Linked DNA regions of Callithrix jacchus. The main gene of each other region encodes a partner of the protein of the gene in region 3 in a complex. Links are inferred from orthologs where the notes say so. Each region holds a gene or a part of one and is shown on either strand. Other genes may lie near its edges. The genes, in order: GNAL, guanine nucleotide-binding protein G(s) subunit alpha isoforms XLas and GPR161.

Region 1 (3,649 bases), on a different chromosome or scaffold from region 3:
TATACAATAGATGAACCAAAAGAGATACTTCTTACGGTTCTGGATTTATCAGTAAAGAGAGAGAGAGAGTGTGTGTGTCAGCCTGTCTGTGTGTGTTTGTGTGTTTTGAGATAGGGTCTTGCTCTGTTGCCCAGGCAGGCGTGCAGTTGTGTGATCTCAGCTCATTGCAACCCTCACCTCCTGGGCTCAAGCGATCCTCCTACCTCAAGCTCCTGAGTAACTGGTACAGGTGTGTACCACCACACCTGGCTAATTTTTCTATTTTTTGTAGAGACAAGGTTTCTTCATGTTGTCCAGGCTGGTTTCCTACTACTCCTGGGCTCAAGTGACCCACCTTACCTCGGCTTCCCAGTGTTGAGATTACAGGTGTTAGCCACAATGCCTGGCCTGAGCATATTTTTAACAAAAGAAAATTTGCAATCAGTAGTGAGACTGAATTTGTTATTTTTATCACCTGTTGTTCCAGATGCTTTCAAAAAGATCGAGGGACTCTCTTAGCCGGTTGGTATTGTTATCTTCTCGAATCACCATGTTGTAGCTACTGCAGGCTGCGACGTAGATGATAGCTGTGACGTCTTGTGGGGTGAAAAGAGAAAAAATAAAGCATCTCAGGTAGAAATCCTTCCTGTGAAGTTACATGAAAGTACACACCCAGAAGCTACTCAGTTCGTCAAAACATTCGTTCAATGATAGGACTATTCAGTCACAGAACAGCCTGGATGTGCACCACGCGCATCACTTGTTGTTTCAGTAAATACTGATGAAGCACCTACCCCAAAAGACACATGTAAATTTGGGATGCTTACATGCTTTTTTTTTTTTTTTTGAGGTGGAGTTTCACTCTTGTCTCCCAGGCTGGAGTGCAATGGCATGATCTCGGCTCACTGCAACCTCCAGCTCCTGGGTTGCAAATAAGCTGGGTGTGGTTGCCTGAGCCTGCCTCAGCCTCCCCAGTAGCTAGGATTACAGGCCTATCATCACATCTGGCTTTTTTTTTTCTGAGACAGAGTCTTGTTCTGTCGCCCAGGCTAGAGTGTAGTGGTGTGATTTTGGCTCACTGCAACCTCTGCCTCCCAGATTCAAGCGATTCTTTTGCCTCGGCCTCCTGAGTAGCTGGAACTACAGGGATGCACCACCATGCCCAGCTAATTTCTGTATTTTTAGTAGAGACAGGATTTCACTATATTGGCCAGGCTGTCTCAAACTCCTGACCTCATGGTCCACCTGCCTTGGCCTCCCAAAGTGCTTTCAAACAGGATTACAGGTGTGAGCCAATGTGCACGGCAATTTTTGTATTTTTAATAGAGCCAGGGTTTCACCATGTTGGCCAGGCTGGTCTTGAACTCCTGACTTCAGGTGATCTGCCCTCCTCAGCCTCCCAAATTGCTGGGATTACAGGCGTGAGCCACTGTGCCTGGCCCTTAAATGCTTATTAAAAATGAGATTAGTATCTAAGGAAAGAGCTTCATAATAATCTATAAAATGCTATACTTTACATACTAATTAGATTAGAGATTATCTAATTCAAAAATAGTTTGTTAGAATTCACTCCCATTTTCTTGAGAGAGCATGAAAATCACCGTTAAAGCACTGGATCCATTTTCTCCTCTCATCCCTCTGGCCACCAACATCAAACATGCTGTGGAAGAGCAAGAGGAACACAATTATTTGAGGGAAGCAGGGGACAACGGCACACATGCTTGCTTTCCTCCTTTATCATCAGCAGGTTCCAGCGATCACACCTGGGTCTGAGTCAGGCTTGGGTCACTGTCTGGCCTGCACCATCACTCCCTGTGTGATCCTGGACTACAAGTGGCTCCACCTCTCTCAGCCACTGTCCCTCCTCTGTCACCCCACAGTGGGGCTACAGGGGTGAGAGATCAAGCAGACAGCAGCCGGCAGTGTCTGAGGTCACACAGTAGGTCTATAATAAATGCAGTAGTTACTAGCTCAGTAATGCTAGAGGTTACTTGCTCAGACACTAAGGCCTCTCTGAGTACAAGCTAAGTCCCCGCCCAGGGCAGATTCTTCTTATGATTTATTCCAGCTCTCAGGACACTGTAAGCGGGAGTGTCCTCATTCCCCTGGAGAATTGAGAAAGGTTCCTTGCTGATCTGTCGATACTACATGTGTCTTGTCTCCAGCCGCCTCTGCCTGGTGACCTGCAGTAGGTCTTTATCACTTCCCTGATTTAGTTCAGGCTTCTCTGCCCAGCCTGAGTCACTCCCTGGTCTTGCCCAGCAAAGGTGACCTCAGCCAGTTCTCTCAGTTTCTCAGCTACATCCTGCACTTCATCAGGCCAGTCCCAGGCCCCTCTTCTCACAGCCCCTACCCAGTGCACCCTGTGGCCTAAGCCATAGAGTCATACATGCCGAAGGGGACTGGGAAAGGTATAGGGCAGTATACCATCAAGGGTTGCATAGTAGATGCAATGGGAATTCTAAGGGCTCACCATGGGCTGAGATCTGAGGGATGCTCAGATGCTTTTTTTTTTTTTTTTTTTTTTTTTTTTTTTTTTTAGTGACAGGGTCTCACTCTGTCACCCAGGCTGGAGTGCAGTGGCATAATCATGGCTCACTGCAGCCTTGAACTCCTGGGCTTAACAGATCCTCCCACCTCAGCCTCTTTAGTTTTTTTTGTTTTGTTTTGTTTTGGTAGAGACAGGTTCTTGCTATGTTGCCCAGGCCGGTCTTCCCTGGCCTCAAGCAATCCTACTGCCTTGGCTTCCCAAAGTGCTGAGATTACAGGCAGGAGCCACTATGCCTGTCCTGACGGAAGCTTTGATAGATCTGTGGGGTTTGCTTAGCCCATGCAGAATCTGAGGCTCAGAGGACAAGATGAATAGAGGTGCTGTAGCAGGAAGAGCTGGGAGAACTCAAGGGTCCTGACAGCAACCCAGCCTGGTGAGGCAGGTGGCAGGTGGTAAAGCAGGGCTGGGGGTGGGGCAGGTCACAGGTGGAGGGCTTGGGTCATAGAATGCACAGGCAATAGTGATCCCCGAACCATTTTCAGCAGAGGAATAGCACAATCCAGGCCATGCTGTGGGAAGATCCATTTCATGGTGCTGAGTAGGGCAACTGGAATGGGTAAGCTAGCAGATAGGAGACCAGCCAGGGCCCTGCCGAGAGAGTCTAGGCACGGGGGAAGTGACGGAGCAGGACTCGGGTCACAGCTGTGAGGATGGAAAAGAGCTTTGTGGAGGGAGAATTATTGTCTCATCATGAGGAGGAAAAAGGAAGAAAGTAAGCTCATTTGGCAGAGTTTGCACTTGGGCAACCCAAGAGATGGGCTAGAGACACACATACACTGCTAATTTCAGTTCTCAAACTGTGACTGTGCATCTGAAAGGTTAAAATTTCATGAGTCTCCTGATCTAATAAAAGGGCCAATCAAATCTACAACTCAGATGCAAACATGCTTTCCTTTCAGGTGTCCTCATTTCTACTTTAAAGTAGGCAGTAAAATCAACACTTCAACTCTTGCTAGAGTTCAAATTTCACCCCAGTTGCCCTTACCTGAAAGGGCACCCATGCACATTCAGGGATGAAGCCCCCTTAAGCCCCCCAACCCTTCGGCTCTCGGTCCCCTGGCCCTGGGCCATGCGGCTCTCAACAACATACTCACTGAAAGTTTACTTTGTCCACTTGGA
Region 2 (3,649 bases), on a different chromosome or scaffold from region 3:
AAGTGGGTTATATTATACATATTGTTTACTGCTTTTTTCAAAATAATGCTATTTTAAAAAATTTAGCTATCTATACTAACTGAATACTATTAATTTCTCTGCTAATGTAAGTTTGCAGCCAAGTCCATCTAAAATATACAAACACAAATTCCCACGAAAGCCTGACAAAAGGAAACAGTAACTCATTGTTTTCGCTGTAGACAAGTCTCTTCCTTGTGGGCCTTACAAACGCATCCATCTTTCCAGTTCCCTGCTTATAAGCCACTCTCCCCAAGAAGGGGCCTAGACGTATATGTTTGGGCTTGAACGGTTTTTTTTGTTCCCTAAAAATAGTTCTTTAGGGAGCCAATGGTGTCATGCATCCAGAGGAAAGTCTTTTCCATGTGTTCTATTTTATGATGTATTTTTGAATTACAATTTAGATATATTTAAACATTTTTTTAATAATGAGAAAAGATTTCATTTGCCCAAAGACCAGGACTGACTTTAGGAAACTCTTAATAAATATGAAAAGGTCACCTGTTTAAAATGAGAATGTCTCCCATTTGGCACTTCACTGAGGCATCCCAAGGGAACTTAGGGCACTTCCAGTGGAGTAAATGGACAATTAGTATTTGTGCACCGTATTTAACATACAGGTTTGTTTGTCCTAAGATGTGAATAATTAAGCCTACCGTAGCTCAGGAACTATTTTCCTCCTAAACATTTACAATCTAATAAAATGAGATTGTAATATTAAAGAGTGATGTTTATTTGTGATGGATGTCACTGAAATGTGTTTTGCCTGAGGTGTGGTTTGAACACTTTTGCCCATGTGCAGGGCTGTCACTGATGTTCTTAGAGGAACACTATGCTCAGGTGAGTGGATCTCAGGCCACATAAGTCGGGGTGTAGCTTACAGGAGGGAAGTCGAAGTCAGGCACGTTCATCACACTCAGAATGTAGTCCACTCTGAACTGGTTCTCAGGGTTGGCCAGCTCCACAGGGGGTACCAGGTTGCTCATGGCGGCCACAATGGTCTGAAAAGGATTGAGCAAAGTGGTCAGGGAGCAGTACTGGCTGGGAGGGGCTGTAAGACAGAAAGTGCAAGGAGCCAGCACGTACTTCGATTGCCTCTTTCAGGTTGTTTTTGATGTCCTGCACTTTGGTTGCCTTCTCACTGCAGTGGGATTGAAAAAAGAAGAAAATCATATTGCATCGTGTCAATTGAGAGTATTGCTTGCATAAAGATATTCCGACTACAAAGCATAGTATTCTGTTCTTCAAGGAGTTGTGGGTTCAGATCTGTGCAAAGATTGGAGGTAGCTCAATAGACATGGCTGCAAATTGTAACCTCCCAAATGTGTCCGGAGGACATGCCCAATGGGACAGATGAGCAAACTGCCTTAGCAATCATGACTGTACCAAAAGTTGCACACAGGTCACCGACTCTTTCAGGTGGTCCCATGGGCTTGAAGCCCCATACTACATACTAACACTTCTGACCCTGTCAGCATCTGGGTAGGGGTGAGGCTGAAATGACAGGTCACTAAGAGTTTGCAGTGGAGCAAAACAGTCCCCTATTTTGATGTAAAATTCACTCAGTTGCTAGATTAGCATACTGAGAGAACCAGTGAGCACAGGTACTGGTGTTAGTAATAGTTCAATACAGGGGCCTGGGCACTCGGTGACTCACGCCTATAGGGCAGATTGTCTGAGGTGTGGAGTTTGAGACCAGTCTGGCCAACATGGTGAAACCCCATCTCTACTAAAAATACAAAAAAATTAGCAGGTTTGGTGGCATGCACCTCTAATCCCAGCTACAGGGTGCGGGAGGCTGAGGGAGGGGAATTGCTTAAACCAGGGAGGTGGAGGTTGCAGTGAGCCTAGATCATGCCACTGCACTCCAGCCTGGATGACAGAGCAAGACCGTCTGGGAGAAATAAAAAAAGGGCCAGGTGCCATGGCTCATGCTTGCAATCCCAGCACTCTGGGAAGCTGAGGCAGGTGAATCACGAGGTCAGCAGTTCCAGACCAGCCTGGCCAACATGGTGAAACCCCATCTCTACTAAAAATATAAAAAATTAGCTGGATGTAGTGGCACGTGCCTGTAATCCTAGCTACTGGGTAAACTGAGGCAGGAGAATCACCTGAACCTGTGAGGTGGAGGTTGCAGTAAGCAGAGATTGCACCACCGCAACCCAGGCGAAAGACTGAGACTCCATCTCAAAGAAAAAAATGGTTCATTACAGGTCTCAGGGCTTGGCAGCAAGTCACAGGTGTGCTGCTCCGGGCGCTCAACTAGCAGCAATGAACTTTCTAGTTTATGATATTAGTGCATGTTGGTCCATGTGCATAGGTATCAAATAAGATTCCACCCCCTAGATGTTCTTATACTCTATGGGGGAAGGGGCCAGATCCCTCTGGTAAGTAGAGGTTGAAGGTTTTGTAGCTTTTCCTTGACTTTATCTCGGACAAATGGGATGGCCTGTGTGGTCTTTACGGAATGATCTATATTCAGGGTCACTGGTCCTACAGGTAAAGGCCACACCCTCTGGCTTCTGGGGACCCTAATGTTAATTTTTGTACCAGATTACACTGATCCAAATGCCGTATGTCTTTCAGAAACTAGCCTTCTAATATAAGCACAGCCAGGGAAGGTTCTGGAGTTTGTGTTTTTAGGGGGGGCAAGAAAGGGCCTCTCGGAGTGTCTCACCAGGTCTACAGCCCAAAAATGTGCAGCACACCCAGCACACCTGCTGTACCTGTTAGGCCCTGGGAGGTGAGAGCATTGTTGTACAGAAGGAAAGTGCTATGGTCCTGCCTCTCTGATGGGGAAAATGAGGCGCGGGGCGGGGGGGGGGGGGGGAAGCCTTGATTTGCAGAGGCAGAAACTGATGGGGGTGGGAGATACAGGGAATAAAGTTTATCTTTTTCACTGTATTTTTTTTTTTTTAATCTTTTGAGATTCCCAGTTTTTGAAGCATTCACTTGGCTGATGCGCCAATTCATAGAATGGAGGTAGAAATTAAACATATAATTCCCTCCAGACTAGAACATGACAAAGTCAAGGTAGAGAAGAGGAGGAGGGAGGTTAATTAGAAACAGTGAACGAGCAGGGCAGGGCGGTCAGTGGGGAAGGAGGGGAGGGGATGGATGGTGGGGTCAAGTGCAAGCCTGCCCACAGGCCTTCCATAAATAATGTGGTCTTCCCTTTCTCAAAGAACTCTACTCCCGAATTTCCTTCTGAATTAACGTCTGCGTACTTATTTGAGGGAGGCTTCACAGGTCTCCGAGCCACTGTTCTTCTACACTGAAGAGCTGGCAGAGTTCAGAGGGGCCATGCTCATTAGTGGAGGTGGGTGTCTGGGGAAGGGAGGCAGAACAGATGGTGCCAGGAATCCCCTCAGGGCCATTTAAGTAAAAGTGGTACAGGTCCAGAGAACCTCAGAAGCACAGATGACAGGGAGAGGTGAGCTTCGGACCTTGTGCACAAATCTGAAATCTGATTCGGGCCCCCACACTCTTAAAGCAACCACCATAAAGTGAAAGGGACCAAGTCCTCACCGCTCTGTGGGACTGTCTGCTTTGTATGTGCAGAATCGAACGAAGCTCATTTCTAAATTTAAGAATTTCTGGCCTTGGTATTACAGTCTAACATCAATTATTT
Region 3 (3,649 bases):
ACCAGGAATAGGGGACTGTAAAAATAATTTATAAACCTCCACAGGATGGAATACCTCATAACCGTGAAAAATCACCTTCTTCTTTACAGAATGTCTGCAAAGAAGAGAAAAGGCTCACAATCACCTAAATGAAAAAAGGAGGTCAGAAAACCACAGGTGCCAGAAGCCTGTTTCAAAAACTTGCTGTATACAACCAAAAATTACTGGAAGCAAATATACTAAAACCATAAACAGTGATTGCTTCTGATTAGATGATGAGTGTTTCGAATTTCATTCATTGTATTTTCTGTATTATCACCTAAGGGAAAAAAGAAGAAGCTAATTGATTCATTTTGACCAATGGCTTCATTGGTTCTGCCTCCACAACGCAGCCACAAAGAGCTGCCAGATTCCAGCCTCAGGTCTAGCTGCAGCCTGTGCTCTGGTGGACCGTTCTACTAGCACTCATCGGCTGAAAAACTGACAGTGTCAAAAAAGCCCGGGGACTTGTCTCACCCAGTGACAACACCCCTGGCTAGCCCCACTCTGTGTTTTCCCTGACCCCACTACTTACTCCCCTCCCCAATTCCTGTAAATCACACATACGTTGAATCTATCCTCCCTGTCCTCATGAAGTGGCCCTTAGCAAAATTCTAATAAATGCACTCATTTGTGGGAAACTCGCTGCCAAAGCCCACGAGACTTGTACAACTAAATCTGACAGCTTAATGTGGGAACCTGAAGAACCCTCAATATGCCACTTAGGAACATCACCTCCCTGTGCACTGGTGACACTGAGGGCAGGGGCAGCCCGAGTTACCAAATGTGCACACTGCCTCTCCCCGGTGTCACTGCTTGTAATCTCTGGCTATTTTCCCTCCCCTTGCTCTCCTTCCAGTCCTGGACTGTGGGGAGTGAGGATGTGTTGAGAAATGCTGAGTGTATGATAAAGTATATTGTTTGCTAAGAAGAACCATGAGAAGGAAAACCTAGCCACCACCCTCTCCCCACAGGTAGAAAACTACTTGGGGCATTCTAAAGTAGCAAGATAGTATATGCATATCACAGACCAGTTAAAACAATTCTTTAAGTGTGGGATATGTGACCCTGCCCCATGGCTCCCTTGTGGAGAATACTCTTTAGTTTGTCCATGATTAGTGGTAAGTGGGCACCAGCTGCCTTCCTGGTTTATCTTGGTGCTATGAGAAAACACAGAACACCTGTGGTGATGATTATTAACCACAGAACACTCGTGATTATAACACAGAACAACTGTTTGATAATAATCATCACCACAGGTGATAACCTCCTCATAACCACCTCATAACACCAAGAAATATGTGGGTCAGAGTCTGCCTGAGGCCCTCAGCCCAGAATGCTGTCAGTCCCCTGAGGCTCTCAGCTCAGAAGGCTGTTGACCCCCTACATAGTCCCACCTTGCTGTTCTATCTGGGTGTTTGCCTCCAATTCCTTCCACGCTGCCTGGGTGGGGGTCTCTGCAGCTGAGCTGGACTCGGGAAGGGTGCGCCCTGTGTGGGCTCCACTGGTCAACACCAAAGCAGGACAGAGCAGGAGTCACACTGGGAGAAAGTGCAGCAGAGTCAAGGGCCCTGGCCCCAAGGCTGCTCGGAACTGAAACCTGCCGCGGCTCGGCTTCTTCATCGACAAACCAAGAATCAGAGGTTTCCAGAATGTTCTATTTTAGGCAGTGGAACCTCTTTCTAAAATATAAAATTGTATGTAACATACACAGACAAAATGAGACATGGTCTGGTTGAAGATGTGGCTGCAGAGGCAGAACTCTGTCTGGTCATCCTCCCCTGGCAGGGGCCCCTGACCCTCACCAGGGAACTAAGGCAGTCAGAGGGACACTGCACCAGATGAGCTTCCATCCGCAATCCCTCAATTTTCTAAGTCTGAGGCATGCTTACCGGTCGATGGCAATGACCCCGAGGGTGAGCATGCTGGCCGAGCTGATCAGCAGGTAGAGGAGGGCGGAGAAGTTGCACCAGACGACACCAAAGATCCATTCCCTGCGGATACAGCTTGTCACCACGAAAGGGAGCACCAACACGGACAGCAGGAAGTTGGACAGGGTCAGGCTGAAGACGAACTTGTTGCTGAGAGTGAGGAGGTAGGACTTCTTGTACAAGGTGACCACGATGACCAGGTTGCCCAGGCAGACAAAAATGGTGATGACAATGATGGCGATGAACTGGGTGAGGATGACGCCCTCTTCGCCGCCCTCCTCCTCAGTGAGGTTACTCAGCTCCTTCCTACAGCCGAGGGAGGAGTTGAGGCTCATGGTCAGTGCACCTCGGCATGGGGTGGGCAGAACATGCTGGATGACTGGAAAGATAAGGCAGGACCAGGGGACAGGAAAAGATTCATCAAATGCCATCATCTCCACTTTAGGGAAGAAAGGTGAGGCTTAAAGGCTGTGCCTCAGGTCACCCAGCTAGTGCAGACTCTCAGCCAGTCTTCCCATGTGCTGCATAAGTGGGGCATTTCCTACAACCAACTCTGTGTGAAACTGATTATGTCCCCCTGACCGGTTTCTTCCTCTGGTCTAACCCATCCTATCCATTTTCCCAAGGCCAGTGATTCAAAACCATTAATGTGCTTAAGAATCCTCTGAAGTGCCAGTGCAGAGAGCTGATCCTTGAGCTCCACCACTAGAGGTTCTGGGCGCAGAGATCACAGGCACAGCCGAGGAATCTGCATTTTAAACAAGCAGGCTGGGGCAGGGCGGGGGGCTGTTACAAGTGGTCTGTGGGAGACACTCTGCAGACTGCTGTGTTTAGACCCTGGTTACTCGGGGTGGGCCCTGAACCAGCAGGATCACCATCACCCGGGAGCTCACTAGAGAGGCAGAACCTCAGGCTCCGCAGCTCCATCTACAGAATCAAATCCGCATTTTAGCCCCACCACCAGTCAGTTTTAGTGCTCTAACAGTTCGACAGTAAGATTCTCATGGGAATCGTTCTGAGCTCCCTGAGCAGGGATTACTCAGGTACAGTTTATACGGCGACATTATTACTGCTCTCATCAGACATGGCGAGGGAGGGGAAGCGCAACTGTAAATGGGGAAGTGGAGGCACCATTTGAGGTCTCAGCCCACAGACATCACTGCCTATAAGGGGCCGTCCCTGCTCTCGGAAGACTGGCTGGTGATGCTGGCTAAATCTCCAGGCTGACACATGTTAACATTCAATCCTACAGACCAATGTTTCTCCAGCACTCTTCATATACTTCAGTGAGCCAAAATACCCCACAGATCACTGTCCCCACCTGCTCTCATTCTCTGCACAGAGAAGACACCAAAAAGAAAGGAACAATTGTTTTCCATGATCAAGACAAAAACTCTGGTGCCTGATCTGCCTACACACAGCAACAGGGTTATCTACCACAACCCTCATGGTAGATCCGTGGCCTCTACTCAAACATTCTTTGTCCAGAGGGCGTGTGCAGGTTAATAAGGCAGCCCTTCCCCTCCCCAGCAGTCTTAAGTGCCAGTGAGAAAGTTTCCCTTATAGTATGGTGGTTACCAGACCCTTCACTAACTTAGCTTTCCTGCTTTGTACTTGCTCTCAGATGTCTATGACCCTCTTGATGTGGGTCCCCAAAATTGAACACACCATTCTAGATGTCACGTCCAAAAGGGCAATTT

The links.
Region 1: the proteins of GPR161 (region 3) and GNAL are in contact, whole or in part, in a cryo-EM structure (PDB 8KH4), measured with the Homo sapiens proteins. The link is inferred for Callithrix jacchus from reciprocal best matches to the Homo sapiens genes GPR161 and GNAL. Residues at the interface, in NP_001254539.1 of Homo sapiens: Arg125, Ala128, Val129, Leu130, Pro132, Met133, Tyr135, Pro136, Met137, Ile139, Ile211, Val214, Ala215, Lys218, Ala219, Lys267, Ala268, Thr271, Trp327, Asn328, Lys329, Arg332; in NP_001135811.1 of Homo sapiens: Ala41, His43, Lys203, Val204, Phe206, Phe363, Cys366, Arg367, Asp368, Ile370, Gln371, Arg372, His374, Leu375, Gln377, Tyr378, Glu379, Leu380, Leu381.
Region 2: the proteins of GPR161 (region 3) and guanine nucleotide-binding protein G(s) subunit alpha isoforms XLas are in contact, whole or in part, in a cryo-EM structure (PDB 8SMV), measured with the Homo sapiens proteins. The link is inferred for Callithrix jacchus from reciprocal best matches to the Homo sapiens genes GPR161 and GNAS. Residues at the interface, in NP_001254539.1 of Homo sapiens: Arg125, Ala128, Val129, Leu130, Pro132, Met133, Met137, Ile211, Val214, Ala215, Lys218, Ala219, Lys267, Ala268, Thr271, Ile272, Trp327; in NP_000507.1 of Homo sapiens: His41, Lys216, Val217, Phe219, Phe376, Cys379, Arg380, Asp381, Ile383, Gln384, Arg385, His387, Leu388, Tyr391, Glu392, Leu393, Leu394.

The regions. Positions count from the first base shown.
Region 1 is NC_133514.1:50,860,985-50,864,633, forward strand, and holds part of GNAL (guanine nucleotide-binding protein G(olf) subunit alpha), read right to left. Parts: coding exon 3,625-3,649; intron 1,640-3,624; coding exon 1,581-1,639; intron 576-1,580; coding exon 455-575; intron 1-454. UniProt on the Homo sapiens protein: Guanine nucleotide-binding protein (G protein) involved as transducer in olfactory signal transduction controlled by G protein-coupled receptors (GPCRs).
Region 2 is NC_133506.1:54,470,949-54,474,597, reverse strand, and holds part of guanine nucleotide-binding protein G(s) subunit alpha isoforms XLas, read right to left. Parts: intron 1,164-3,649; coding exon 1,105-1,163; intron 1,020-1,104; coding exon 900-1,019; intron 1-899. UniProt on the Homo sapiens protein: Guanine nucleotide-binding proteins (G proteins) function as transducers in numerous signaling pathways controlled by G protein-coupled receptors (GPCRs).
Region 3 is NC_133519.1:34,190,081-34,193,729, reverse strand, and holds part of GPR161 (G-protein coupled receptor 161), read right to left. Parts: exon of another isoform or gene 3,618-3,649; intron 2,329-3,617; coding exon 1,911-2,328; intron 1-1,910. UniProt on the Homo sapiens protein: Key negative regulator of Shh signaling, which promotes the processing of GLI3 into GLI3R during neural tube development.